Regions from separate parts of the Mus musculus genome. Here regions 1, 2, 3, 4, 5 and 7 are each reported to be linked to region 6. Evidence: microRNA targets listed by miRTarBase, many of them from high-throughput screens and not tested one by one. Region 6 holds a microRNA gene; each other region holds the end of a gene's coding sequence.
What was found. Region 6 holds the annotated microRNA mmu-miR-717 (CUCAGACAGAGAUACCUUCUCU, at 1,417-1,438, shown strand). A microRNA usually pairs through its seed, bases 2 to 8, with sites in the 3' UTR of a target mRNA and lowers its output. Matches are read on the target gene's strand: a 7mer-m8 pairs with bases 2 to 8, a 7mer-A1 pairs with bases 2 to 7 and ends in A, and an 8mer does both.

Region 1: the mRNA of Trim43b is a reported target of mmu-miR-717. Seed matches in the 3' UTR shown: 8mer at 1,127-1,134.
Region 2: the mRNA of Klhl7 is a reported target of mmu-miR-717. Seed matches in the 3' UTR shown: 8mer at 2,150-2,157.
Region 3: miRTarBase lists N6amt1 as a target of mmu-miR-717. Seed matches in the 3' UTR shown: 8mer at 2,494-2,501.
Region 4: the mRNA of Ankfy1 is a reported target of mmu-miR-717. Seed matches in the 3' UTR shown: 8mer at 1,830-1,837 and 7mer-A1 at 3,376-3,382.
Region 5: the mRNA of Phkg1 is a reported target of mmu-miR-717. Seed matches in the 3' UTR shown: 8mer at 1,594-1,601.
Region 7: the mRNA of Lcmt2 is a reported target of mmu-miR-717. Seed matches in the 3' UTR shown: 8mer at 1,895-1,902.

The regions. Positions count from the first base shown.
Region 1 is chr9:89,081,567-89,085,824 of GRCm38, reverse strand. Trim43b (tripartite motif-containing 43B) reads left to right here. Exons shown (of 7, transcript NM_001170884.1): 7 at 109-1,201. The coding sequence ends at 581. Among named protein-coding and RNA genes, the nearest start is that of Gm40542, 3.8 kb to the left of the region's middle.
Region 2 is chr5:24,159,025-24,163,282 of GRCm38, forward strand. It overlaps Klhl7 (kelch-like 7), which reads left to right. Exons shown (of 11, transcript NM_026448.3): 11 at 423-2,207. The coding sequence ends at 706. Among named protein-coding and RNA genes, the nearest start is that of Nupl2, 3.8 kb to the right of the region's middle.
Region 3 is chr16:87,366,684-87,370,941 of GRCm38, reverse strand. N6amt1 (N-6 adenine-specific DNA methyltransferase 1 (putative)) reads right to left here. Exons shown (of 6, transcript NM_026366.2): 6 at 2,293-3,477. The coding sequence ends at 3,371. Among named protein-coding and RNA genes, the nearest start is that of N6amt1, 15 kb to the right of the region's middle.
Region 4 is chr11:72,766,910-72,771,149 of GRCm38, forward strand. It overlaps Ankfy1 (ankyrin repeat and FYVE domain containing 1), which reads left to right. Exons shown (of 25, transcript NM_009671.5): 25 at 604-4,240. The coding sequence ends at 736. Gm46287 (a long non-coding RNA gene) reads left to right here. Exons shown (of 4, transcript XR_001780259.1): 4 at 206-597. Among named protein-coding and RNA genes, the nearest start is that of Gm46287, 4.2 kb to the left of the region's middle.
Region 5 is chr5:129,860,818-129,865,075 of GRCm38, reverse strand. It overlaps Phkg1 (phosphorylase kinase gamma 1), which reads left to right. Exons shown (of 10, transcript NM_011079.3): 9 at 1-101; 10 at 387-1,645. The coding sequence ends at 635. Sumf2 (sulfatase modifying factor 2) reads right to left here. Exons shown (of 9, transcript NM_026445.2): 9 at 1,125-2,437. The coding sequence ends at 2,353. Among named protein-coding and RNA genes, the nearest start is that of Sumf2, 16 kb to the right of the region's middle.
Region 6 is chrX:52,419,899-52,423,898 of GRCm38, reverse strand. It overlaps Mir717 (microRNA 717), which reads left to right and starts at 1,384; the gene lies at 1,384-1,492. All of the region lies in intron 3 of Gpc3 (glypican 3), which reads left to right.
Region 7 is chr2:121,134,997-121,139,234 of GRCm38, reverse strand. It overlaps Lcmt2 (leucine carboxyl methyltransferase 2), which reads left to right. Exons shown (of 1, transcript NM_177846.3): 1 at 1-1,943. The coding sequence ends at 695. It overlaps Gm23858 (a small nuclear RNA gene), which reads left to right and starts at 3,939; the gene lies at 3,939-4,044.

The DNA.
Region 1 (4,258 bases), not on the chromosome of region 6:
CCAGTCTTAGCCTTTCTATTTTTAAAACCAGGAAATCTCTAGGGACCTCATTCACCTGACAACTGTAAACAGTTGGTTTAACTAAAATGTTGGCTTTTCTTCCCACAGTGAAGATTTCCTTTAAACATTCAATCATGTTCGGCTACACCTCACTCAGACCTTTTGATATCAGACTTCTCCATGAAAGCACATCTCTGGATTCAGCTGAAACCCATCGTGTTTCCTGGGGAAAAAAGAGCTTCTCCAGGGGAAAATACTACTGGGAGGTGGATTTGAAGGACTATAGGCGGTGGACTGTAGGAGTCTGTAAGGATCCCTGGTTAAGGGGGAGAAGCTATGTGGCGACACCCACAGATCTATTTCTTGAGTGTTTGAGAAAGGACGATCATTACATTCTCATCACCCGCATAGGAGGTGAACACTATATAGAGAAGCCAGTTGGCCAAGTTGGCGTGTTCCTTGATTGTGAGGGTGGATATGTAAGTTTCGTGGATGTAGCCAAGAGTTCCCTCATACTCAGCTACTCTCCTGGAACTTTCCATTGTGCTGTCAGGCCTTTCTTCTCTGCTGTCTACACATAATCATAGGAATCCAGTATGCTAGTGCTTTTCTAGTACTTCTATGATAATGTGTCCCCTCTTTATTGTGATGGTTTGTGTATGCTTGGCCAGGGGAGTGGCACTATTAGAATGTGTGGCCCGGTTGGAGTTGGTGAGTCACTGTGGGTGTGAGCTTTAAGACTCTCATCTTAGCTGTGTGGAAGTCAGTCTTCCACTAGCAGCGTTCAGATGAAGATGTAGAACTCTCATCTGGGTCTTTACCATGCCTACCTAGATATTGCCATGATCCCACTTTGATAATGGATTGAACCTCTAAACCTGAAGGCCAGCTCTAATTAAATGTTGTCCTTTATAAGACTTGCCTTGGTCATGGTGTCTGTTAATAGCAGTAAAACCCTAACTAAGACATGTTAAAATGATATTAAGGGATGGAGAGATGGCTCAGAGGTTAAGAGCACTGACTCTTGGTTAAGGGACTGTTCTTCTGAAGGTCCTGTGTTCAAATCCCCACAACCACATGGTGGCTCACACCCATCTGTAATGAGATCTGATGTCCTCTTCTGGTGTGTCTGAAGACAGCTACAGTGTACTTACATATAATAAATAAATAAATTTAAAAAATATAAAATGATATTAAATGTAAAAGATGGGTGACTGCTTCTTATCTGTGGTCCACCTGTTCCTCCTAGAACATTTACTTTTTTAAAAATATTTTATTTATTATGTGTAAGTACATTGCAGCTGTCTTTAGACACCAGAAGAGGGCGTCATATCTCACTATGGATGGTTGTGAGTCACCATGTGGTTGCTGGGATTTGAACTCAGGACCTCTGGAAGAGCAGTCAGTGTGCCCTTACCTGCTGAGCCATCTCACCAGGCCAAACATTTACTTTCAAAGTAGTTATTGCTTTTTGTTTTTGCATATTTGTGAGAATTACTAATTAGAATCTTGGATCTAGTGTAGACCTAGAACTCAGGATGCAGAGTTCCCAGAGTTCCAGCACCATTTAAATATTCTGTATCTGTGTGATTCTAAGTTAATGACGTCAGGCAGAGGCACAGAGATCTACTGTAGGCAGATTTGTTGATCAATAAAAGCTTGAATCCCTATTTGATCTAAACAAATAATTATTTACCAACTGGGATAGAACAACAACAACAAACAGGCTCTCATCGTTCAGAGAGGGATTTTTTTTTCCTGAAAAAAAGGAAAGTGAGTTTCCCCCTCTTTCACGTCCTTTATTTTAAACCTGTTTTATGTTGGGGACACACTTGAAAAAACTTTAATTGTCTCCAACATAAAACAGCTTTAAATATTGAATATTCTTCCAGTCTCAGAGAGCACACAAATGTCTTTTGACATTCAACAGGTTCTCTCTTCTGGAAACCCCTCCTTGGTCATTTGCAAGAGGGTCGTGTGTGGGGCTGGTGAGATGGCCCAGCGGTTAAGAGCACCGACTGCTCTTCCAAAGGTCATGAGTTCAAATCCCAGCAACCACATGGTGGCTCACAACCATCCGTAAAAAAAATTCTGATGCCCTCTTCTTCAGTATCTGAAGACAGCTACAGTGTACACACATATAATAAATAAATCTTAAAAAAAGAGGGTCGTGTGCACCTGAGAACACTGAGAGAAGTAGATTGTAATGCCCATCCAAGGCCATTTTCTTTCATGATTCTAGACTTTCAGAAATGAAGCCTCAAATTTTTTTGGTTAGCCAGTCTAGTTCCCTCTGCTTTCTCATGTTGCTTCGAAAGGCATAAAGTTATACTTCTTAATATCCCAACATAAGATTTGACTCCATTGACCATTTGACTTCTGTGACACCTAGGCTCTGACCAGAATATTACACCAAGGACTGTGCAGAGACATGAGAACTTAGGTTGCTCCTTTAGGAAGCATATTGCAAATATTTTAGAAAAGACTAAGAACACAGTAGACATAAGAAATGCCATGCGACTACTACTTAGCACCAGGCATGCAGTTCAATAAGATCACAAAACATAGAAGCATTAAGCTCAAAGGGGATGAGGTGTTTTGTTTTTTCTCATTTTTTTATTAGAAAAAGAGAAAGCAAATGTTGGGGTTGCATTTATATCATGTACAGGATTCTGGAGAATTTCTAAATCCCCCAATTTCTGGAAAGTTTACATTCCAGTCATAAAACCTCACTTGATGCATTGACAATATAACAGCTCATGTAACCCTCAGGAAACCTTGTGGAAGAGGCAGATACATCCTAAGAGCCAGAGCACCAGAACATCTGCTTCTAAATAGGCACACAAGGAAGAGGGATTTGAAGGAGGGCCCATGGGTGCATATACAATATATGAAATTGCCTTAAATTAATAAATGAGAGCTAAAAAGCAAATCAGTTTAGCAGTCAGGGCAGCTCTGTGGCTTATGTCCAGGCCCAAGCTCCTCAAATGTACTTTTGTGGGCAAATGGCCTTCACCTTGGCCACATTTAGAGCATATAGAGTATAAATCCTTTCCTATTTAACTATTGTGGTTCTTTTGAACTCATATCTAATAAGGTAAAACACAAAGCTCATGTATATACATTTTAAAATTTATTCTTATAATACTGTCAGATCATAGCTTCTCCTTTCATTTCTCCCAGTCCAAGCCTGGGTAAGGCAACCCAGTAGGAGGAAATGGGTCTCAAGAGCAGACAAGAGCCAGATATCTACTTCACTGTTACTAGTCCTACAAAAACTCCAAGCTAAAAACCATAACATGCCGGGCAGTGGTGCCTTTAATCCCAGCACTTGGGAGGCAAAGGCAGGCAGATTTCTGAGTCTATACAGTTGAGTTCCAGGACAGCCAGGGCTATACAGAGAAACCCTGTCTCAAAAAACCAACCAACCAAAAACCATAACATGCAGATATAACTTAAGCACATACCAATGTTCCAGGGTTGCTGCTTCAGTCTCTGTGAACCCCCAGGACCCTTATTTAGTTGCTTCTGTTTGCTGTATTATCCTAGTGTCTCTGACCCCACTGACTCTTATAATTCTTCCTCCCCCTTCTTCCATGGGGTTCCTAGATCTCTGAGGGGAGGGACCTAATGGAGTGCTCCAATTTGGGCTCTCTCTACATCTCATGCATGGCTGTCAGTCTTTACATTGGTTCTAATCAGCTTCTAGGGAAAGTGTCTCTGATGACTATTGAACTAGGCCTCAATCTTTGAGTATAGCAGAATACCACTAGGGATCATTTCATTGACTTATTTTTCCTACCCTAGGTCCTTGGCTATCCAGACTCCAGTTCTTGATGATCCAGGCAGTGTTGGGCATGGGCTTCCTCTCTTGTGGGCTTCGAATTAGACCACTCATTAGTTGGCCACATTAGTTCTCCTTCATTGCCCCAGCACATCTTTCTGGCAGGATAGGTTGTAGGTCTAAGGGCATTAGCTGTGTTCATGTTGCAACCCTACCACTGTAAGTCACTTGGTTATAGAATATGGCTGGTTCAGGCTCTGTATCCTCCATTACTGGGAGTGGTCTCTGGGGTCACCTTTGTAGATTCCAGGGATTTTACTTTTTACTAGATTTTTTTTTTTTTTTTTTTTTTTTTTTTGGTTTTTCAAGACATGGTTTCTGTGTAGCCCTGGCTGTCCTGGAACTCATTCTGTAGACCAGGCTGGCCTCGAACTCAGAAATCTGCCTGCCTCTGCCTACCGAGTGCTGGGATTA
Region 2 (4,258 bases), not on the chromosome of region 6:
TTTGTCAGGTTTTAAGTGTTAAGTAAAACAATAGCTTCTTTTCTGTTATTCTCATTCACTGGTATTTTTCATAAATTGCTAAAAGATAGAAAAACATTTGAAATAATTTATAATCAAAGCAAATCACTGATACTTTTTAATTTTCTTTTCCAGGATGGAACATTTGTAGGAAATGTGTAGGGTTTATTTTGTTGTTGTTGTTGTTGTTTGTTTTTTTTACTTTGTAGAAAAAATATTTCTGAAAATTTCTCAAGAATAAATATTTAGGTAGTGGGCGTGTGGGTAATGATCATAAAGCTCTTATATCCTTTCTATGTGGTTAACAATTTTATTTTGAAACTAAAATATAAAACTTTTAGAAACTATGAAGAGATCCAGCAATCACTAATAAAATAAAGTTCTCATATGTTGTTCTTTTGAAGGTGGTCTGGACAATGTGGAATATTACGATATCAAGTTAAATGAATGGAAGATGGTGTCACCGATGCCATGGAGGGGTGTCACGGTGAAGTGTGCAGCAGTTGGCTCTGTCATCTATGTCCTGGCAGGTTTTCAGGGTGTAGGCAGATTGGGGCATATCCTTGAGTATAATACTGAAACAGATAAGTGGATCGCCAACTCAAAAGTCCGGGCTTTCCCAGTCACAAGTTGTCTAATTTGTGTTGTTGATACTTGTGGAGCAAATGAAGAGACCCTTGAAACATGAATGGTGAATGGACTTCCACTCATCTGAAACTTAGAGATATGGCCACCAGTGGTTTATTCCAAGAGTTCGGTTATGAAGTTCTGATCTGGTATTTTGATAAAGTAAGATTCCAATAAGATAACAGTTTATATTATCTGGATCTCCTTACTTAATTCAAAGATCATATTTTATTTGGCCATCCAAGAACCTATCAGCCAGAAAACGTGAAAAGTTACAAGCACTTCTTGAAAACGTGAATTGCAAATATATAACTGATTGTGGCAGAGTGGGGCATGCTCATCAGAGAAAGAGCCCCAGCTTAGCTCTAGATTCTATTTTCCTAATTGTGTAAGTGCTGTGTAGTTAGGGCTTTTTGTTTCTGTTTGGTCAAGAACTAAGTAATCGTATGAATTATAGTCGGAGATGGTAAACTCTGATAGAGTAACTGTAATAGTGTTATGTATTTTGCTTGTCTTCATTATTTCATTTAGTGCCAAATTATTCCATTTTAAAGTAAGCAAAAATGGCTTAAACATACACACTTTCTCACAAAACTTCTCAGATTTTTGGGACTTAACTGTACCCAGTTACTCATGAAATAATATATTCAGTCCAATTAAATGAAATATTATACATTTTTGTATAAAATATTAAGCTTAGCACCCATCATTAATTCATATGGTTTTACTCAGCAGTGTAAAAAGCACTCTATGTCCTCATTCTCTATGCGAGAGCCAATCAGTAGGAACGATTGACCAACAGAAGAAAAGCTGTTGGAAGAAATTTCTAGATTACTAGAAAAGCACTGATAATTGTAGCCCAGTAGCATATGGATTTTAAAAAATACAGTTTTCTTTTCTCCTAGCAGAACATGTTAGAGGTAACTGAGTTTTCTCTAAAAGTTTTGTAATAATTGGCATTAAGTATATCATTATTCATTGCTTTTATGTGGACAACAAATTACCAAACGGCCTATTAATTTTTCTCAGTAATGTTTTGCCCTTTGACTATGTATGAAATGTGCCATGTTAAACTGTCAATCAATGTTTTTATCTGATATTAAATATTTTTAACTTAAATAGATTTGCTTTGTTTATTCATTCTACGTGTGTTCATTAATATTTCTTAAATTTGTGAAAGTTTCCATTTAAAATTTTTCTCTGAATGGAAGTTAGAACAGACTCTAAAATGTTTAAATTAAAAGTGAAGTTGAAAAGTGACAGGATTTATCTGTCAAGTTCTTATGTATAGACAGCTTTATTGAGATGTAATTCATAAGCATACAGTTCACCCATTTAAACTGTACTAATGTAGTGGCTTTTAGTATGTCTATATGCGGGGCTGGTGAGATGGCTCAGTAGTTATGAGCACTGACTGCTCTTCCAAAGGTCCTGAGTTCAATTCCCAGCAACCACATGGTGGCTCATAACCATCCGTAACAAGACCTGACGCCCTCTTCTGGAGTGTCTGAAGACAACTACAGTGTACTTACATATAATAAATAAATCTTTTTTAAAAAGTATGTTTATATGCACTGTGTACAGTCATCATTGTATTTTTCAAGTGTTTTCATAACTCCTCCGAAAGAAGCCCTGTACTTACTGTAGTCACTCCTATTCCCATGTGCTAGCTTGCTACACTGCTACAAACTACTGCTTGCTTAATGGATTAAACCAACCAATATATTTTCACTGTTTAGGAGGCCAGATGTCTCAAATCTGGCTTTTGGAGGATTGGGCAAAACCGCCACACACCCCATTCCCACCCCTGCTGCTGGTTGCCAGTAGTCCTTGACATTTACTTCTTAGTTTATACCTAGAGCTGCACTGCAGTCTTACACCTTCATCTTCTCATGGTCATTTCTTTCTCTTGTGTAACTATTTTCACTTAGTTCTTTTGTAAATAGCATTTATTTGAACCATTCTTTTTTTTAACTTACATATGAATGAATATATACCATCTGTATGCCTGGTGCCCACAGAAGTCAGAAAATGGGGTCAGATCTCCCGAATCTGGTTGTGAACCACCACGTGGGTTCTAGAAACTGAACCCAGGTACTTAGAAGAACAGCTAGTGCCCTTAACCTTGGAGCCATCCCCCGCTGGCCTGGAGTTAAGATACCCACCCTCTGCTTTCTAAATGCTGTGACTAAAAGTATGCACCACCACATCAGAAGGATTCTAGTACTTTGTCTTAAACCACTTACATCTGCAAAGATCCTGTTTTCAAGTAGAAATGCATTCTGGAGTTCTGGATAGATAGGAATTTTGTGAGGAACACTATTTAACCCAGTACACTCTTACAAACTCCAGCCTTAGACAACCTCCACCTCTAGACTGTAAAATGATCTTTTATTCACTTGATGTAATTGTCATCTCAGGCTCACTGCCTCTGTCTGCTAACCTAGGTGAGGTCCTGGAAGCTTCCAGCCTCCATACAATCTTATCTAGGCCTAGAATGTTTTCATCTTTTGAGACTTACTGCTGAACAAGCTCACCCTTTCTAGCTCTTTCTATACTCTGGCTGGTTCAACTTAGCTGTTCTGGCTCAAACTGATTCAATCTGGCTTCTCAGTCTCTGACTGTTGTAAATATTTTTATGTAAGATGTTGAAATTTGCACTATTTTAAAATGTGGCTATTTGAGCTGGGCAGTGGTGGCACACGCCTTTAATCCCAGCACTTGGGAGGCAGAGGCAGGCGGATTTCTGAGTTCGAGGCCAGCCTGGTCTACAGAGTGAGTTCCAGGACAGCTTAGGGCTACACAGAGAAACCCTGTCTCGAAAAAACGAAAAAAAAAAATGTGGCTATTTGAAGCTGGAGAGGTGGCACTGTATCTTGCAGAAGGACCTGGGTGTGGTCCTTTGCATCCACTCGGAGGCTCACGATCATCTACAACTCTAGTTTAGGGGGATTCAGTGCCCTCTTTCTAGCTACCTCAAGTACCAGGCACACAATGAAGCACATGCATACATGCAGGAAAACATGAGAAAAATTGTTAACATAGCTAAATTTTCTGATGACAAAATACTCATTTATTACACTGTAATCACACTGATAGAGCAGTTACCCCTGTAGAATAGGCAGCACTGTTAAAATATTTTGACTATATTAGCTGTTCTTTTTAGGCTGCTGATTAACTAGAACACATAACATTTTATAAAGCTTTCTATAAAGTTCCTTTACTCCTAATAACCTGTATCATGTTCCTAATAAGAACACGTCTTCCCCCAAACCAGAACTATCATTCACAATTCTAAAGGATAATGGGTAAAAGTAAACTATTCAAAGTATATTACTTCATATACAAATTGCTTTGTATTCAAATTTCTTTGTATATAAAGTACATTTCATTACTTTTTCAAAAAGTTCCTTTCCTATAATGTACTCTGCTTTCATTTCAGTAGATACTGGGTTTGTCAGTGTTCTGTCCTTTGAAGTGCTTTATTTTGATGATACATGGGTTTTACTTTTGAGAATCACAATTTGAGTATGAATGTTTAGTAGACAAAACTTGTTCCATATTATAACAGTAACTGTGGCTCTGTGGTCTAGTTTTTAAAACTTGTCATTAT
Region 3 (4,258 bases), not on the chromosome of region 6:
GGGATAGACTTCCCAGTAAGAGCAAAGAGCTGAAGCTTCCTCCTATGTCCTATATATAGGCAGCCAGCAGAAGGTGTGGTCCAGGTTAGAGGCGGATCGTCCCATCTCAGATCCACATTAAAGATGGGTCTTCTCACTTCAAATGGTTTAACTAAGACAAACCCCTCACATGCACACATGCACTTGGAGTTGACTTCATTCCAGATGGAGCCTAGTTGACTACAAAGTGTAGCCACCACAACACTTTATAAAGTGTTCCTCTCAGACAGCTCTTCTACTCTCCCCAAATTCTTACCTTACAGTCTCATAATCCAACTGCTCTTTATACTGTTTCAAACTAGAGGTAAAAGAAATATCTGCGATAGAATCCTCCAGGATCTTTATATAGAGAGACCCGTCTTTCCATTTTGCAAATATTCCTTTCAAAAGGTCTTATTCAGGAAGGGTGTTCATCTGTCGCTGGTACTTTTGGTTTAGCTTCTGTGTGAACTTTAAGGACTCCTTCGAGTAATAGCAAGGCATCCTGTAATTTATGTCTGTGAAACCCAGATTCAGTAGGTTACTAAGAAACAACTTAGTCCCACTGAGATAGCATACAGAGTAAATGGGCTTAACTGCGTCATTTTCGTATGTGTCGCTCCAGCATGTCCCATCGCACCTTTCTCGGCATGAGCTGGAAGACAGAGATGCTGTTTCTCTGCACAGCAGTCTGGTAAACAGAAGGCATGCCAAGGAAAGACTCGGGTTTCTCAAGAGTTCCTATCTATAACACTATAGAGTCGGTATGCATCTAGCTGAGCCCACACTGTTGTCCTTCCCACCACAGGGTTTGGGACAAAGACAGACTGACAGAGGTGAGGCCATTGTTCATCCTAATTGCTGTAGTATAATAACTCCTGCTCTTCAGGAGCCTGATTTTGCTGGCCAGCATTGAAATTGTACCTGACTAATGTAGGTTGCAGGCAAGGGAAAATTTGCGGACCTGTATGTCTCTTGACAGTTTCGTGGTATAGTTTCCCCTTAATGCTGCTTGTGAGAGCCAACAGGGTTTCACCTAATCGGCCAGTCCCCAACTCTGGCACACTGGCAGCATTTCCATAGAACCTAGAAGCAAGACTAGAAGTTAGAAACGGATGTTCCTGAATCCCTCAGCCTCACCTACAACCTACTACGTCCATACCCACACCCGGGCTGCCGTGTAAGCTGTTCTGGCACTCTGGCCATGTGGCTAGCAGAGCCAGGGGTTGGTGTTGGAGGTTGTGATGGCAGAGATGGGTTCCATACCGGACATCTGGCAGGCCCTATGGTAATCTGCAGTTGCAGGCCTTTTGGATTCTGGAGCAAGGCCCTGCTAATATCACAACTGTTCTTGTTTTAAGTGACAGTCTTTGGCCTGGCACTGTATCTTGGCAGATCTCAATATAGAATATTGATCACCAAGTTATCCTGACCCTGGTTAGCTCTATCATGAACTCTATATTGGAATTCTTATCAATTTTATTATTCGAAAATTACATACATGTACGCAGTGTCTTGATCACGTTCCCCCATCACCTTCCTCTCTTCTCCTCTGCAACTTCATGCCTTAATTTTGAAATTATAGAGAGAGAGAGCTGGAGAGGGAGCTCCTTGGTTAACAGCACTCCTGCTCTGAGAGGCCCTGAGTCTGCTTTATGGCGCTCTGTTGTGTTCTCACAACCTTCTCTAACTCCAGTTCTAGAGCATCTGACACCTTCTTCTGGGCTCCTGCGGTACTGGCCCACTGTGGCATGTATTCACCCCCACATCTTTAAAAAATTATGTCTGTGTATATAGTATTAACTCTGAGTCAAGGTAGTGCTGGGTACAGTATCATTATCCATTGGGGGGGTAGGCAATGCACGAGTAGCCACTCCTAAAAGTGATAGAGGAGGAAGGTGGTCACGATCCTTGCAAATGATCATCTAAGCTTCCCTCCATAGGAGGCTGGACTTTTAGATGACATCACTAGCCTGAGGTGGGCCTTCATAAGTAACTGAGGGAAAGGGGCCTTCCTGATGAACCCCTGGGAGCATCAGCAAGTGGCGTTATGCTGTTCACAGAGTGAAAGCTCACCTTTACACTGTCTGCAGTTAAGTTCTTACCATGCGGACTGTGATAGTCCATGGACAGTCCAATATTACCACCAGGTAAAACAGACGCTACACAAAGGCTGAAGTTCTTTTATTCCTGTAGTTTATTCCCCTTTATTCCCCCCCCCCCCCAATCTTTGTTATATACACACAGCGATACACTGCTTTGGCTGGCTTTTCAAAATAGCGTGTATGGGATGAAATTCAGCTCCAGCCTCTTAGCACTCAGTTGTCCTGGTCACCAAAAAGCCTCGGGTGCAGGATCTACACAGTGCCTTGTTTCATGGCTACATGTTCAGTGGAATGGATTCAATGAGATTTTATTTTACTTTATTTATTCTTTAAAGGTTTATTTATTGTATATGAGCACACTGTAGCTGTCTTCAGACACACCAAAAGAGGGCATTGGCTCTCATTACAGATAGCTGTGAGCCACCATGTGGTTGCTGGGAATTGAACTCAGGACCTCTGGAAGAGCAGTCAGTGCTCTTAACCATTGAGCCATCTCTCCAGCCCTAGGCTGAGATTTTAACCAGTGTCCTTTCTGGTGGACATTTAGGGTAATTAAATTGCTTTGCTATATTATAGCTAAGGCTAAATCAAACGTGCCTTCATATATAAATATATAAAATATGGTATACATATAATACATATTTACTTGCACTTGCACAGAAAAACTCATATGTTGATTCTCTGAAAACAAAATGACCCAGCTTTCTATCTTTTTCTTTTCTTCTTGTTAGGTTTATTTTGTTTTTGTGTATGGATATTTTGCCTGCAGTATGTATGCATGTCATTCTGACCTCCAAAGGTACAGGTCAGAATAGGGCAGGATCCCTTGTGAACTACCCTACCATGTGGGTGCTGAGAACTGAGCCCCAATCCTTTGTACTAGCGGTCAGTGTCTCAGCCTCTGAGCCATCTATCCATTCAGCCCTCACGGGTTTCTTGCCTTTTCTTTTCACTTTGGTTTGGTTGGTTTTAGGTTTTTGAGACAGGGTTTCTCTGTGCAGCCCTGACTGTCCTGGAACTCACTCTGCATTTCGGCTGGCCTTGAATTCAGGGATTCTCCGCCTCTGTCTCCAGAGTGCTGGAATTAGAGGTGTGTGCCACCACCACCTGGCTCCACTTTTTTTTTTTTTTTTAAATGACAGATTTCTAATAAAATTTCTTGGCCAGGCAATGGCATCAGTCTGAAACCTACTGAGCGATTGTTCAGCTGCCGGCAGCTCTTGTTTACTTCTGTGGCTTTCAGGACACTAGGACTTGCTGAACCTGAGGACTGACAGGGCTTCTTGGCCTGCTTGCCTGCAAAGTGCTGTGGTCCCTTGCAGACCTCTTGTCTTCATTGTTTTAAAGATTTCCTCTAAAATGAAAAATAAAAGTAAAATTCAATTAAATCATTTGGTGATATCCATGATCACTGAGCAATTTAGTAGGAAGATAAACACAAAAAATTCCTCTGATTAAACAGTGTAAGCCAGGCAAATGTTTGTTACCTCAAGCTTGGACCTGGGAGATCTGGGACACAACTTTATGAAGGTCCGAGGATTCTGACAGACGTAAGGGCCTAGTTTTTTGGTTTTTTTTTTTTAAGATTTATTTATCTATATGAGTACACTGTTGCTATCTTCAGATACACAAAAAGAGGGCATCAGATACAATTACAGATTGTTGTGAGCCACTATGTGGTTGCTGGGAATTGAACTCGGGACCTCTGGAAGAGCAGTCAATGAGCCATCTCTCCAGCCCTCAAGGGCCTAGTTTGTAGTGCTAGCCCACTTCCGACTACACAGAATCATTATGTAACCTTGTTATTATAACAGGTGATCAAGTTTTAGCTGGTTGGTGTCAGTCTCTACCATATATTCTTTATGGGAAAGGTCAATGAAAATTTGGACGAGCTGAATCCTAACAGTGTCCAGAGTATAAATGAATTCACTTCTTTTGAAAATAAAACCAGAGGCCCGAGCGATGACTTGGTGGTTAAGAGCACTTACGGCTCTTGCAGAGGATCTGGGTTCATGTCCCAGTACCCGCATGACACCTCACAACCACCTCTAACTACATTTAGAATCCAATGCTTTCTTCTGTCCTTAGGCTCCTGCCTCCAAAAGGGTGGGGGTGGGGATGGGGGTGGGGAAGGA
Region 4 (4,240 bases), not on the chromosome of region 6:
GGGAGGTGATAGGACTGACTGAGTGGGGAGGTGATAGGACTGACTGAGTGGGGAGGTGATAGGACTGACTGAGTGGGGAGATGATTGGACTGACTGAGTGGGGAGATGATTGGACTGACTGAGTGGGGAGGTGATAGGACTGACTGAGTGGGGAGGTGATGGGACTGACTGAGTGGGGAGGTGATAGGACTGACTGAGTGGGGAGATGATAGGACTGACTGAGTGGGGAGATGATGGGACTGACTGAGTGGGGAGATGATAGGACTGACTGAGTGGGGAGATGATAGGACTGACTGAGTGGGGTCCCAGTGTGAAGGGAGAGTAGAGGAAGGAGGAACATTCAGACTTACCACTTTCTTGGGGGCGAAGGTTCATCACTGCCTCAGCGGGTGCCAAGGACTACACAGCGTCTGTGCTTAACTTCTTCCTGTTTGCTGTAGCTTAGCTACTCATTAGTATTTTCTTAAGAACTAAAAATTGTGTGACTTGGTGTGACTTGGCTGGTAGTTGGCAGAGTTGGCTGCAGATGCCAGAGACCGGGCTGACCATTTAGAACCAGTCTGCTTTTCAGTGCCTCTCACACTTCTTTATTTGTCTCCACAGTCGTCACTGCGGCCGTCTTCTTTGCCATAAATGCTCAACCAAGGAGATCCCTATTATAAAGTTTGACCTGAACAAGCCTGTGCGGGTTTGCAACATTTGCTTTGATGTACTGACTCTGGGTGGAGTCTCTTAGTGAGGCCCCCAGGAGGACCCAGGCCTGCATCCCTGGCACCTCCCCAGCAGCTGCTCTGCTCACCGGCCTGCCTCCTACCCAGAGCAAGAGCTGGCAGTTGTCTTCCTGCGGCAGAAGACCATGGCGTGATCCCTGATTGTTACAAATGATTCTGTATGACTGTCAGTGTGTCAGACTGTGGTCTATTGCACTAGATGTCTCACTGGTTGGACCAGGCCAGTTTAACCTGCGTGACAAATGTGATAGGAATTGGCTAGCAGCACACAAGGACACTTGGAGACAATGTTCCCTTCCAGTAACGTAGCGTCCATCTCAGAGAATTCACAAAGTCTCCCTGCCTGGGCTGACTCAGAACAGAGCCCTCAGAGCAGAGAGCGGCTGCTGGATGAGCGCTGGTCACTCTAGGGCGGTGGCTACCCTAAGAGGCTCTGGCCTCTCATGCACAGTGTTTTCATAAAGAGAATAGGAACCTCTGCCCTCAAGTCTTTTCTTTCTTTAAGCTAAGCTGTATTTTTAGTGAGCTGCCCTTTTAAAAAGGTGAAATCTTTCTAACAGGGTTCAAAGATGAGAGCTGAAAAATTGTGGCCTTAACAACTGAAAGCTTTACCAATGTTGCTGCTGCTGGGCGTCAGAATGCCTGTGGCAGCTTGACACCCAGCAGCTGTCTCATCTCTCGTCTTGCTGCGTCCTGTCTTTGGAGTCCTCGGTCGCTGCCACTTGAGTGGTGGAAGAAATGCACTTTGACTGTGCTGCACTTTTCTAGCTGTGTCATTGGTGAATCCAATTCAAAAACCCATGTTCAAGAATGCCATCACATGCTCTTCCATCAGTGGTTCTGATAGCCAGCTTGGACTGGACCTCAGCACACACTAATCTAAAAGGGAAAACTGCCAAGAAGGAAGAAATTCATACTGATAAGAAAGGAGATAGCTGTGACTTTGATCCAGGTTCTCTCTCCCTGACACATCCTTCCTGCTAAAACCTTGCCTTGCATGCTGAGTGCTAGTGGCACCAGTTCTGGGTGGCGCTGTGCCTCATCAGAGCTGAACAGCCCAAGGCCCCGGCCAGCTATGAGCAGCCTGTTTTAGAGCTCTGTCTGAAATGATGAGCGAGGCTACGAAGCATAGGTCTTTGGTTCCTGCTGCTGCCGCCTGTTCTACCCCTGGGATGCGGGGCCTCTTTCTTCTTAAAGTTTGGCCAGTGTTTTGGGTTGTTTCTGTTTGGGAATTTTAATTTTTTCATTTTATTATATTGCACACTGAAAGAGAAACTTACACCACTGGGTTTTCTGTTTGTTTTTAAGAAACAAAACCACAATTGCTCTGAGACTCTGAGATGAACAGTATCTGGTCATAGTCAGAGCTTAACTGTCAATCACTCGCACTGATTTTTTTGAGACATTTGATAACCCTACGATACTTGCGTTAATAGAGTATGGCTGTATGAATAAAAGGGACTTCTTTTGGCATCACTTTCTTCCTTGGATAGTGGTATGCTCTCTGTTGCTGTAGAGTTAGACATCTTACTGCCTAAATATGTATAAAATGTGCTGAGAAACCAGTGTGCTACTTTCTAAAAATATTTCTGTGATTTATATGTATGCTTTTTATGTTAACATTAGCTTGTACACAGTGTTTAAAAGGAAGAGTTACTTGGAGGAGTGCCATTGTCCCCCAGCCTGTGACTTACTTCATATATAATCTTTATGGAAACATTTAATCAGTCTTGGCCAACAACTATAGGAGCATGTAGTCAGTTTCCAGGTTTTATTGCCTAAAAAGGGCCACGAAGACCTAGAGTTAGGTTGTTACCGTGGTTCTTTAGTGGGAAAGGTAGGAATGGTATGGTTATGAACCAGGGTGGAAAGGGCACATAGGGAAGCAGGATGACGCTGATCATTGTGTCCTTGCCCTACCACACCAGTTTCAGTAACAACCTTGCCTATAACTGTACTTACAATTTGCAGATGATGCCTAAAGCATATGTAGGTTCAAGCTTCTGTTCCTTCAGAGGTCATTGTAGTCATCCCCGTGGCTGACGGGGCTGTGTGACTTGAGCATTGGTAGCCATGCTGTAGATGTGGCTCAGGCTTTCTTCCACAGCCGCAATCCCCCAGACCATGCCATGCTCACTGTGCTGCCCTCCTGCTGTACACTGCCCTGGCCAGGACCAGACTTACTGTGTGTCTCTCCTGTGCTCTCTCCATGCTGACCAGATTTCACCATGAAATTGCTTACCTGTTCTTGTTCGGTCTTATCACTACCTTAAGAACTAGCAGCAAAACTTCATTTATTCATTCAAAAAGTTGTTGGTTGTGAATGAGCCAATCAGGAAGAATCAAGTTTACTGAAACATAATTGCTGCATCAGTTAACACTGCTATACTCACCTAGCTTTTTACCTGCCTCTTGTTCATCATGACTGCTGTACAGTGTATCATTAAGGTTTTAAAGATAGAGGTACAGACCATGTGCTTACACTAGTTTGCTATGATCTTCTAACACAGCAATGTCCCACAAGCTTAAGTGCCTACACTGAGGACTCCCTTGTTTCCAGTTGTCTTTTCATTGGTGTCTCACTCAGTGATGTGTTAGAACACGAGTTTCGGGCCTATTCCACCCCAGTAGCCAATTCAGTCCAGTCTGAATATTAGACTGCTCAGTTCATCTGCCATATTCTCTCCAAGGAGTGGGGTCCACATGATGTTTCTGTCCTCTACCTCAGAACCATGAGTTGTTTCTGACTACCCATCAGCTTCCTCCCTCTCCTTGAGTGGGTCTTTCATGAAGCTGGGTGTGTGGAATCTCACCACCCCGCCCAATTTGCGCCCATCCCCCATACTGAACCGTTCCTGTACTAGTCTTGTTTGCAGGCAAGGGGTGGAAGACAGGCCCCCATCTAGGATTTCCTTACCTGGAGAAGAGAAAAAGTGGCTGAACTGCCAAATGCTTAGGAGAGGAAGCAACAGCAGCATGTAAATGTCTCCCTCACAGATGCTGGCTTCCCTCAGGATCAGCCCCTAGAGCCACCTGAAGCTCCAGAGCTCCCCTGCCAGCCCAGCAGAGGAAGCAGCTCAGCAAAGGCCTCTGAGCTATGCTCACTATACAGAACTGATATAGTGAAAAACCAGCTAACTAAATATAAAATTCCCAGATGTCATAGATGCCTTAAAGACTTTTCTCGGGAGGATCATTGCCTCTTGTGTGGAATAAATAATGTATTAACTCTTACAACCGACAACATTGGTTTTCCACAGTGAGGGAGTCTGGGGACTGCTGGACTTACTGACTTGCCAGTTTGGCAGCTGTGTGGAACTGGGCGTTCCATGATATCTTATGGTACCAAGGACAAGGTGGCAGCAGCTGGGCCATAACTGCAGGCACGTGTTTGTATAGACCACTTTGGCTCTCAAACTGCTCTGGTGCTGCTCAGTGTGGGATGACCGCATCAGCTGGGACCATGGCTAAGGCTTAGCAGCATTGTTTCTTTGGATTCTGTGTAATGG
Region 5 (4,258 bases), not on the chromosome of region 6:
CTCAGGACCGCTGCTCGGCGGAAGAGGCCTTGGCACACCCTTTCTTTCAGGAGTACGTAGTAGAAGAAGTACGGCACTTCAGCCCCCGAGGGAAGTTCAAGGTACTGAAATTTAACCTTCCCTAAGGCTCTTGGGGGAGGCTGCTGTTGGCTCCTGCTGGCACCAGGCTCTCAGAGCTTTAAGCTATGAGGGAATGCCTTGTACCCACTGTTCCAATTCAATTTCTGGTTGCAGGGGATGTCAGCTAACCGACCCTGTTACCTAAATCCCTACAGATGCTTGTAGCCTGGGAATAGGGGACATCATGAAGGGCACCCCCAAAGCCAGCTAAGGTTTCCCGACAAGCTTTGCTGCGGGCTGAGGGTTCTAAGTGCTGCCCCCTGCAGGTGATCTGTCTAACTGTGCTGGCATCAGTAAAGATCTACTACCAGTACCGTCGGGTGAAGCCGGTAACCAGGGAGATCGTCATCCGAGACCCCTACGCCCTTCGGCCGCTGCGGAGGCTCATTGACGCCTATGCTTTCCGTATCTACGGCCACTGGGTGAAGAAAGGGCAACAGCAGAACAGAGCCGCCCTCTTCGAGAACACGCCCAAGGCTGTGCTCCTCTCCTTGGCTGAGGAGGAGGACTTCTGAAGGGCAGCGGGGGCCCAGGGGAAAGCAGACAGAGGGACTTGTGAGAAGAGGATGCCCCAAGTAGCCTTCTGCAAAGGAATAGGTGGCCCTACTCTGTGCTCTCAAAGGCTTGCCTCTAGAAGCACAGGGTGTTCCCAGTAAACAGCAGTAATTACAGCTGGAGCTGGATGTGCTGTGGCATGTGCCTGTTGCCCCGAGACAGTAGGATCACGGGTTCTAGCCCAGCCCGGGAAGTCTAGTGATGCTTATTTCAAAATAAAAATGAGGCTGGGAATGTAACCCTGTGGTGAGTGTAAGGTCTCCAAATTCAACCTCTGGTACAGCTAAAATAGATAATAAATAAATAAATAATAAATCCAACGCAGCTGAGACCGTGATAGGCAGAAATGGAAGGGCATAGAGCACATGTATTCTGGGAGCTATAAGCCTTCTGGCTTCTCTACTGTGCACCTTTGTTGATGTCTATAGTTTTCTTGTTTTTTTTTTTAAGATTTATGCATTTTATGTATGTTTTAGCTGCATGCATTTTATGTAACCCACATGCATGCAGTACCTGTAGAGGTCACAAGAAGGCATCAGAAACCCTGAAACTGGAGTTGTATAGATAGCTGAGCCCACCTTGTGGGTGGTAGGAATTGAACCCCTCCTCAGCAAGAACAGGCGCTCATAACTGTCTAGCTAAAGTTATGGATATTTGAGGAAGTGAAAGCAGGAGTTCAAGGTCATTTGTGGCTACACAAGGAGCTTGAGGCTAGCCTGGGCTACATGAAACCCTATCTCAAACAACAATTATATTGTGCTTCCTGATATACATAAGAATTTATTGACCTCGGGCTGGTGTGATGGCTCAGTGGGTAAGAGTACCCGACTGCTCTTCCAAAGGTCCAGTGTTCAAGTCCCAGCAACCACATGGTGGCTCACAACCATCCGTAACGAGATCTGATGCCCTCTTCTGGTGTGTCTGAAGACAGCTACAGTGTACTTACATATAATAAATAAATAAATCTTAAAAAAAAAAAAGGATTTATTGACCTCATAAGATCCAGTTCTTCTTCAGGGACATGTCTGCAGGATACACAGAAGGCCCTACATGATTAGCTAACTCTCAGAGAAGGTTCTGGCATTTGTCTTCCTAGAGGGGCACTGACTTTGGTTCTCCCACAATGCACATCTTCACTTCATAAATCATTTGCTTTACTGGGGCTTTTAAATAGTGGGCGTGGTGTGTAATCCCAGCAGGACCCAGGAAGCTGAGGTAGGAGGATCGAGAGTTCGAGACCAGCCTTGCCACATATTGAGTATCTCGTTTCAGAGGCCAGCGAGGCTAGGTTCTGGCAGCAAGGCTTTGGCACACCTCACAAAGGAAGCATTTTCCTTCTGCAGAATTTCCCAGAAGTGAAAGCTGAACCAGCCAGGGAGAAAGCAAAAAGGGAGAGAGTTTAAAAAATGTCATCTTTTGGACACTGGAGGGTTTGGTTCCTTTGTCCTTAATACTGCACTTAAGAGACAGCCCAGCTCCCAGCCTTGGTCATCCAGGTCCTCATCTTCCAGGCTACTGCAGTCCCTTCTTGCAGTCCGAGTGTTCTTTGTGTCTGTCAGAGGGGAGGGGCTCAAAAGGCCACCCTCAGACGCATGAGCTTGGTAGCCAGCTGCCTCTGGAACATGGTCACGGAGGTACAGTGCTGAGAGGGTGCTTCGGAGATCTCGGTCTGGCTGCTCACAGGTCCTCCTTCGGTCGGCCTGCACTGGAGGCGCAGCGGAAGCCCAGGTTGTCTGAGGCTGAGTCTGGAGTGTTTCCCATCCTGGATGGAGAAGGAAGAGAGGTGCATACTGCTGGGGGTGGGGATCTGTCGAGAAGAGAGGAGCTGTAGTGGTCTGAATGAGAATGGCCTGAATGCTTAGTCATCAGGGAGTGGAACTGTTTTAGAAGGGTTGGGAGGTGTGGCCTTGTTGGAGGAACTATCACAAGGGATTAGCTTTGAGGTTTCAAAAACCCATGAGAGGCCCAGGCAGGGTCTCTGACTGCCTGCTGCCTGTGGGTCAGGATGTGAAGCTCGCAAGTACCCCTCCAGCTCCACCATGTTCTGCTTCCTACCATGATGGCCATGGACTAGCCCTCTGAAACTGTAAGCAATCCCATTAAATGCTTGCTTTCGTAAGAGTTGCCTTGGTCGTGGCGTCTTTTCACAGCAACTGAATCATAACCAACATGATTGGTCTGAGGTCAAGTCCAGCAAGTGTGCCTGCCACTAGGGGGAAGGGGACAGAGTCGGGCGGTGGGTGGCCACAAAGGATTGCAATAGAGGGTGATCTTAGTGACCACTCTAAGTTTAGCAGAACAGCTCAGCACAGCTGCACGGCACGTGATGGCTATTCTTGGTCGTCACCTCAACTGCATCTGGAATTAACTAAAACTCAGAAATGGAGGGGTATACCTGTGAGGATTTTTGCTCAACTTGAAGTAGGAAGACCCACTTCTTTTTTTTTTTTCTTTAAAGATTTATTTATTTATTATATGTAAGTACACTGAAGCTGTCTTCAGACACACCAGAAGAGGGCATCAAATCTCATTACGGATGGTTGTGAGCCACCATGTGGTTGCTGGGAATTGAACTCAGGACCTCTGGAAGAGCAGCCAGTGCTCTTATCCACTGAGCCATCTCTCCGGCCCAATCCAGATCTTTTGAGGCGGGCCTTTACTCTGGGCCACACCTTCTGCTGGAAGAAGGAAACTTTCCCTCTTTGCCTGCTTGCTTTCACCTTGTGTAGTGGCTGTTCCTGGTTGTCAATTTGACAATATCTGGGATGAACTACCATTCAGAAATGGAGGGCTCACCTGTGATCCAGATCTTGAGGCTGGAAGACACAAGTTTCTAACCTGGATCTTGGTACAGAGATTTTGAGACATAATGGCCACGAAAAGCTTAGGCCCAGGCAAGGTAGTACATGCCTTTAATCCCAGGAGACTAAGGGCAAGGAGATCTCTGGCAGCCTGGGACAAAACAAGTCCCGGATCCAGGAGTGGTGGATCCTTTAATCTGGGCCACACCTTCTACTGGAGACCTTCATGAGGACATTGGAAGAAGAGCCGCTCCTCTTCTTCTGCTTGCACTTACTTGCCAGCACATCTGTTGGACTCTACTTCTACAGAAGACCAGCTGAAACAACTAGCCTCGTGGGACTGAGCAACTACTAGATTCTTGGACTCTCCATTCACAGTTGACCATTGTTGGGGAGTTAAGACTACGGACTGTAAGTCATCATAATAAATTTCCTCAGTATAAGAGATATTCCATAAGTTCTGTGACCCTGAGGAATACACCTTGCTAATAAGTCCATTCCTTCAGTGCCATTAGGGCTTACTTCTTTGGGATTCCAGCATCTACTGAAGACCAGCTGAGACATCCAGCCTCATGGACTAAACAATTACTGGTTTCTCGTACCATCCATTCATAAGCAGCCACTGTTGGCTTAGCTGGATCACAGCCTGTGTAAGTCATTCCAATAAATCCCCTTTCTATACATAGAGAGGAACGCATTCTGTAAGTTCTGTTATGCTAGAGAACCCTGACTAACACGGCAGTCAGTCTGCTCTGATAAACAGGGGCTCACCATCTTCCAAA
Region 6 (4,000 bases):
TTTAGTCCACAATAGAATTGCTCATATACTCTTTTGTTGTTGTTTATTTCCAAGAATGTAATTTAATTACAGCATTTCTCCCTTCCCTTTCCTCCCACCTAACCCACCCTGCTCTCTATTAAGTTCACGCTCTTACCCTCTTGCTTGGCTGCTGGCAGTTTTCTTTTTCCATATTTGCTAGTGTACTTTGCTGACTCTCCTTAGCATGCCCCTGGGTTAGGGTTTCCTGGACCACAATTTTACTACCTTGACTTAGACCGTTTCACTGAAAGTTGTACAAAATTTCTTTGTATCACCACCCTTTCTCCCTTTCTTCTGTCATTGTGACTCACTTTGGAACTCCCTGGAAGAGTTTCTGCAAATGTCTATTACACATTTCATCATGCAAGCCATGTGCTGGACACTGAGCATCATCAAGAGGGTAGGGAAGCTGAGCATAGAAGATTCTTTTGCTCCATTTAGGGGGTCACTAAGCCAGCAGGTCTCAGAACTCAGATTCAGAGCTGGGCCTGTCTGACTCCCAAGTTCTTGCTTGTTACCATGACTCTATATTGCTCTCTCAAACACTTCCATTCTCTATTCACTAGAATCTTCGTTCCCCAAACACAGCCTAAATTGGTTTTTTATTATATTATTTAATATCCTGTATTACTCCCTACTGTTTTTCCAGCTGCACAATCAATTTTTGAATTCATTCTCTCTCCATGGAGACTCTTGCTCTACTATTTCCCAATGAAGAACTAAAAGACATGAGGTTGTTTTTTTTCCCCTTTTCTCTTTTCCTATTCCTAACACTTAAAGGAACAGAATAGTTTCTAAGAGAATATTTGTATAAGCTCTACCTGTTAGTGTTGTCAATGTTGAAAACTCTATTAAATTCCACTTGCACTGTTGAGTCCCCACCCACTGGAACAACAGAGAGCCATCTTGGTTTTTGCAGCGATGGAACTCAGGGCCTTGTGCATGTTAAGTGTTTGCTCCGACACAGAGCTGAATCACCAGCTAGCCTCAAAGACAGTTTTCACGCTATCTGGTATTTATCCTGAATATCGAATTATATTCAGACGTCTACTTTGGTCTTTCCTTAGGTAGTAACTTTGTCTACTGAAAGCCTAACCTATGCCAATATCTGGGCACACCCATTTCTTTGGCTACAATGTTTGAAGAAGCAATACAGTCAGTATTTAATCATGGATGGTAGGAAGCTTGGAGGCAGATTCTCCCTTTGAGCTGCAATAATAATTCACTGTCAAATTCGTGCATTTTGCTGTCTGTGTGAGTGACTGTAAGTCATCAGAATTTCCAAGATTAGCCTTACCTTTCGTCTCTGCCTTTGAAGGCTGAGGCCATTTCTCAGATGTCAGTTTGTCCGAGCTTCTCTCCTTGTCCGCTATCACTGTACCGTCATTTTTCAGTCTCAGACAGAGATACCTTCTCTGAATTCATAGAAGCTGCTCTCCGTTCCGAAGGGATTCAGAAGTGATAAATCCAGCAACTATCTCAGTACCTCATTAGTGTCTGCAGGCCAGCATCGGAAACTGCAATAAGCAATATTATTCAAATGAGGTTCGTTTCAGACATGACAGAAAATTTACATTCTGTCATCTTTTTTTTTTTAACATTCACAATAAAAATAGTGTTAGTGGTTGCTATCGGACAAAGGTGGTGATTTGGTCTCTTGTTCTGTTTTGAGGATTCTTTCACAGACTGGCACTGAACATATGGTCCTACTGTCTCAGCCTGAGAAAGGTTAAACATAGATGACCTAATTATTGAAAGACTGACTACAAGGAAGAATTGACGCTATTGAGTGTTAATTTCACAGGAACTTTCCAAAACTAATCATATGAAGAAAGCTTTTGAATGTTTCATCCTGATGTAACCATGCAGATTTTACATTACTTTAGGCAATAAAATAGGCTCTCTGCAAATCTAGCATTGTTTGCCTTCACCTAGGTGAGGGACAGCGTGATGATGAGAGTTGCTCTTTCGTGCTGTCTTCGGGAATATGTTTCTAAATCTCTTTTCCATGATCAATGAACTGATAAGATGAGAATATGCTCTCAACAACTGTGGAAAGTCTGGGATTTCTCCTCAGTTACAAGCTAATACGTCGGTCAACTGCCATTTTACGGAAGCCAGTTAAAGGCATGAGTTAAGGGCAGAACCATTGATTTCTCACAGCAATGGCGGTAACCAGAGGATCAGCATTTGTGTCTAATTCCCTAGCCTCAGTTGCCATGGGGCAAGGCAGAGAGGGCTGGATAACACCTGCAAATGCAATGCGGTGCTTTACTAGAGAGCATTTTCAGCCTAGAGAACTCAAATGTATCCTTAGCACTACAAGAATAAAACCAAGCAAGAGCGTGATCTCTTGGTCTAATGGCTAGATTCTCAACATTGAACCTGGGTAACTTATTTCCCATCACTGCTAGTGCTCACTTCTCTGAGTGGAGACACTGTAGCATCCAAGCTACACAGACACTACATAAAGATACTTGGAAGAGATAGTTTGCAGCAAACAGTGGTCAATGTTTCCATTTATTGCTACCTTTGGATGATGACAAGACCCTCAAAAGTTCTTGATGCCTTTGGAGGATCAAACCAAGGAGATAGAAACTAAAGAACAACTAGTTCAACTTTGTCTGGTTAGCCATAAGGCAGCTTATGTGCTGCCTGTTGGAGCATAGCCAAAGGTACACACAAACACCTAAACTAGTGACAGTGTTAGCCATTCAGAGAATACAAAACCTTTCTAAAGGAGCACTTGATATTGTTGCTTCTCATTAGCAGTAAAACTCTATTGCTTTGATCTTCCAGCTCTCTCTCTCTCTCTCTCCCTCTCTCTCTCTCTCTCTCTCTCTCTCTCTCTCTCTCTCTCTCTCTCCCTCTCTCTCTCTCTCTCTCTGCAGTTATCTTTTCCTATCCTGTTTTTTGAGGATACAGTGTTATAAGTTTTCTATTGCTACACAAGCTGGGGAAGTTATTTCTTTTATTGCACTTAAAAGGTGGCAGATGTGATAACCACAGGGTAGTTAGCTGACACTTATCCATGTCTCCTGGTAGTGACAGGGAGAACGGATTTATTCTCAAAGGATATTCAGTAAGGGTGGATAATTCAAGGCCCTTTGCCCAAGAGAGCAGAAGTTAAGAAAGATACCCCCATGGCCCAACATTATAAGGACCCATGTGCTCCCAGGGTGACAATGAATGAGTACAAACTGCCTATTTCAAATGCTGGCTGCTCAGGGAGTCAGAGGCTGGTGAAAGCAGCCTTTACATTATGAAAGCAGAATAGCCTCTGGATATTTATTCATTACAAAAGCCGAAAAGCCTCAGAATTCACAGTGTGGTTCCTCTGCTATGCCTTTTCCTTTGCCTGGAGTTAAAGTCTGTCTTGGCAAATGGAGTGCCAGTCATTCACTAATGATGCCCCCCCACCCCATCCCCTACACAAGGTACCTTGGCCCATTAACCTCTTAGGTCTGTGCGTTTTTTGCTATCTTGCTCAGGTATTCAGGCCAAAGTTCTTTCTACCTTAACTCTCTTCTCCAAAAGGCAAGCCTCATCCCCCCACCCCCACCCTCAAAATTGGAAAACTGAACAATTCTGGCCATCCTGGAAGCTGGTTTTAAACAGGTAGGACAGTAGATGAGTCATTTCCTTAAGGGAGTGAGCAATTGCAATGCTTCAGTTAAAAAAAAAAAAAAAAAAAAAAAGCTACAGAGCCAACAGGAGGTGAGTCTGCAGCAGAATCATCCAGTGTGCTGCGGCCTTCTGGAGACCAAGTGCAACCTCGTCCTTCTCAGCAGCCCAGCCTGGCTGAGTGCTGAGCAGTGCTGTGGTCCTTCCTGTTTTCTGTTCTTCTGTGTTGTGTGTGTGTGTGTGTTGTGGGGGTAGCTATCAATGGGGTAAAACAAGTGAGTTTTGTTTCTGTGAAAGTACAGATTTCATCATATCCTTTCAACAATGTCCCTTTGGGATGTGCATGATTCCGCAA
Region 7 (4,238 bases), not on the chromosome of region 6:
ATAATTGCTCTGAGGGCCAAAATGTAACAGTAACGAAGGCTGCCTTGGAAGAAGGTTCAGTGTTGTCATGTTGGCGGCATTCAACAACGGAAGTATACTATCAGAATCAAAGATACTTATTTGTGTATGGTGGCCGAAGTGTGGCTGAACCTGTACTAAGTGACTGTCGTTTTCTACATGTAGAGACAATGGCTTGGGTCAGAATCCCAGTACAAGGCGCATCACCCGAAGGTCGGCATTCCCATAGCGCCTGCAGTTGGCAAGGGGGAGCACTTATCGCTGGAGGTCTTGGGGCTTCTGAGGAACTGTTGAGCTCTGTACTCTTTCTCAAACCAGTGTCCTCTGGATTCCTCTGGGAATCAATAGATATCCAGCCCTCCATTACCCCAAGGTACTCTCACACGGCTCATGTGTTTAATGGAAAGCTGCTTCTGGTTGGAGGGGTCTGGATTCATTCCTCCTCAGTTCCTGGAGTGACTGTTATCTGTTTGACTACAGGGTTGAGCTCTGAATATCAGATTGACACAGCGTCTGTGCCATGGCCATTAATGCTGCACAACCACAGCAGCGCCCTCCTTCCTGAAGAGCAGCAGCTCCTGCTTATTGGAGGTGGAGGGAACTGCTTTTCCTTTGGTACTTATTTCAACCCCCACACAGTGGCATTAGACCTTTCTTCCTTACGTTCAGGGCAATAAAGAATGGACTTGATATATTTAGGACCTAAGGGTGAATTTGTTGTATTGCCACACTCCCAACACACACACCTTTCTTCCTTACCACACCATTGAGCAGAGACCATAAAAATGATGATTAAAATACAGACCAGCAGTAAGTATAAAAATAAAGCATCAAAAGAGTGGCATACATCCTAGGGGCCTCAGCATCATGTGAAGAGTTTTCTGGGGTTCTATCAGTTTTCCAGTCTCAGCTCTAACAAGGAACCAGCACAACTCCTAGGTCTGAGGACCTATTATTTATTGAGTCACAACAACCTTTAGCCTAAGTAAAAAAAACAAAAACGAAAAACATTCCCAAACCTGGGTCTGTGACCTAGATTATATTTTGGAAAAAGTTTCACACAGGTCATGGTAAAAATCCACAGCTGAGTATAGTTCAGGAATGTAGTGTTGACCTGTTGGCTATGGGCAAACAGTCTAAAATGAACACTGCAGTTTAAAGACTCGTGCTTTTAGTTTGAACACTGAACTTTAACAGTGAGAAAAAGTACAACTTAGATATTATGCTTTTGATCACTTTTTTGCTAATGTTTTATATTTATCTAGCTTTATAAGTGCTAATAAACCAGACATTTAATGCCTTAATTTTGTACCTTCTATAATGAATAATGTTTGTTCCTGTCAGCCGGACACTGTTCTAAACCCCCAAGCAGCTTAGATAGGCAGCATCAGTCCACAAGTCAGATAAGTACTGTACTATGCTAAACTATACTATATACAAGTACTATAAGAAGGGGATGTGTGTTGGGGGGGGCTGGGGAGCAGGAAGTGAGCCACAGTAGTTGTGCTTTTCCTCTGTCAGTCTACAGGTTGATATTGTGCATTCTACCAAAGCCATAGGCGCTGGCATGTAACCTATGTGGTAAGATAGAACACTAATACTACATTGCTGCATTGCTTAAGGTTTTAGGAGTTGTTCCTTTTCCTTGCCCTCTTAAGAGTTGTGCTGGCTCCTTGTTAGAGCTGAGCTGCATTACGCAATATACTTTTAATTACTTTTCTTGCTTTACTGTGAAGAAATAACATGACCGGGCTGGTGAGATGGCTCAGTGGGTAAGAGCACCCGACTGCTCTTCTGAAGGTCCAGAGTTCAAATCCCAGCAACCACATGGTGGCTCACAACCATCCCTAACAAGATCTGGCGCCCTCTTCTGGAGTGTCTGAAGACAGCTACAGTGTACTTACATATAATAAATAAATAAATCTAAAAAAAAAAAAAAAAGATTTAAAAAAGAAACAGCATGACCAAGGCAACTTAAGGAAAGGTTTATTTGGGCTTTTGGTTCCAGAGATAGACCATCCTGGTGTGGTGGCTAGAAGCAAGAACGCTGAAAACTCACATCCTTTACCACGAGCATAGAACGGCAACCTACAAGCAGGGAGAGGCATTAAGCACTTCGCCCCCATCCCCCAGCCTCATTCCCACCAAGTGACATGTTTCCTTTAGGAAAGACACATACATCTTCCCAGACAGTACCACCATCTAGGGACCAAGTCTTCAAATTCATGAGCCAGTATGGGGAATTCTCATTCAAACCACCACAAGTAGCAATTAGCAACTTGTGAAAATTTAAAGGCATTAAAGAATGTTGGATTGTAGTGTATCTTATAATCTACAGCCATTAGACTCCCCTCAGATATCCCTTAAGTGATTAGACAATCTGTCTATTAAGTTTTGAAGATAGTAATGACATTTCTTAAGTTTTGAGACCTAGTCATGTAAGTTGTGTATAACATGAGCTTCATAACTTAGTGGTAGTGGGTAGAACTGTTACACTAGTACAATCCTGGTTACAGTTGCATCTTGAGATTCTGTAAGTATACAACTGATTATTATTATCCATTAATCTTCTTAGTGGACTTCATGACATACAGTTCCTTTTCTCTAATTTTTTTATGACTTTGCACATAAAATGGATGTGAAGGGTAGTTAATATAAAAACTGACTAGGGTTGTAGATTAACATAAACTTTCCCGAGACTTTATAATGGCCCTTTCTGGAAAATTCATTGGTTATAGCATGAGTCTTAGAATACAGGGCAGCATCCAGCAAGGCTCTCAGTGGGCCAAGTGCTAGATAATTGACTGCAGCATGATAGATATGTTTCTTTTTGTGAGTTTACTACAGCCTACCTCCAGCTTTCAGGAGCAGGTCCAAGGAGACCGTTTGCTCCCAACTGTGTAGCAGATAGTACAGGAAGTTTAATGAGACCTCACTATAAACTCATTTCATTCAGCAATCATTATAATTTCATTACTGTGGGTATAAAAAGGTAAAGGGAGGTCATCAAGAGAATGTTGGCGTATGCCAGACCCAAATCAGTGCAGCAGGTCCTATTATGCCAGGCAGCCCATTATGAGTAATTGGGCCCAGACTTGTTCCTTCAAGAGAACTAACTTGTGTTTTCTGGAAGTAGTTATAAGATTTAGCATGCCTTCCAACTTTAACCCTATTTTTGCAACATGCTTAGTTAAATTATCTCTTAAAACTCTCCCTAATTAGAACATATAGAAAAACTTTCCCAGAGCAGCATTCTGCATGTACTGGTTAGTTTTATTAATGGCAGTCTGCAGCAGTTGGTGAAATTGGAAGAGTACTTTTGATTCTTTATTGTAATTTTGAGTATTTTTGTTCTAAAATTCTACTATCAGGCTTTGGTATAGTTTTGAGAGGTTTTTTGTTTTTTGTTTTATTTATTTATTTTATGTATATGAGTACGCTGTCACTGTCTTCAGACACACCAGAAGAGGGCATTGAATCCCATTACAGATGGTTGTGAGCCACCATGTGGTTGCTGGGAATTGAACTCTGGACCTCTGGAAGAGCAGCCAGTGCTCTTAACCGCTGAGCCATCTCTCCAGCCCTTGAGAGTTATTTTTAGTGATTGTCTTCTCTCTTTTCATGATTTTTTTCTTTCTAGGCCAGAAAAAATTATTAAGGAAAGAGAAGAATCTTTCCTCTGGGTCTCATAAGCAGTGCATCCTATTAGCATAAGAGAACAAGTTGTGGGACTGCTGAGATGGCTCAGCAGTTAAAGAGCACTGGCTGCTCTTCCAGAGGACCCAAGTTTGACTCATAGCACCCATATGGAGGCTCACAACCACTGGTAATCCCATTTCCCAGGGATCCAGTGCCCTCTTCTGGCCTCCAAAGGCATCAGGCACACGTGTGGTGCACAGATATACAAGTGGGCAAAACACATTTACATTTGGCAACACATCTGCTAACATTGGAATGATACAGTGAAGATAAGCCTGGGTCCCGTGCAAGGATGACATAAAAACCCAAGAAACAACAAAGAACACACAAAGCCCACATTGGTTCTTGGATATGAACTGCCCTTCAGAGGCTAAGCTAACACTTCTCTGACTGCCCTCAGTTTTTCAACCAAATATCCACTGTTGAGAGCCAGGCTAATCCAATGCTTTTCTCCAAGGCCCTAATGAAAGGACAACAGGAACCTAGCTCCATGACATTGTCCAAGAACAGACTTTGCAAAG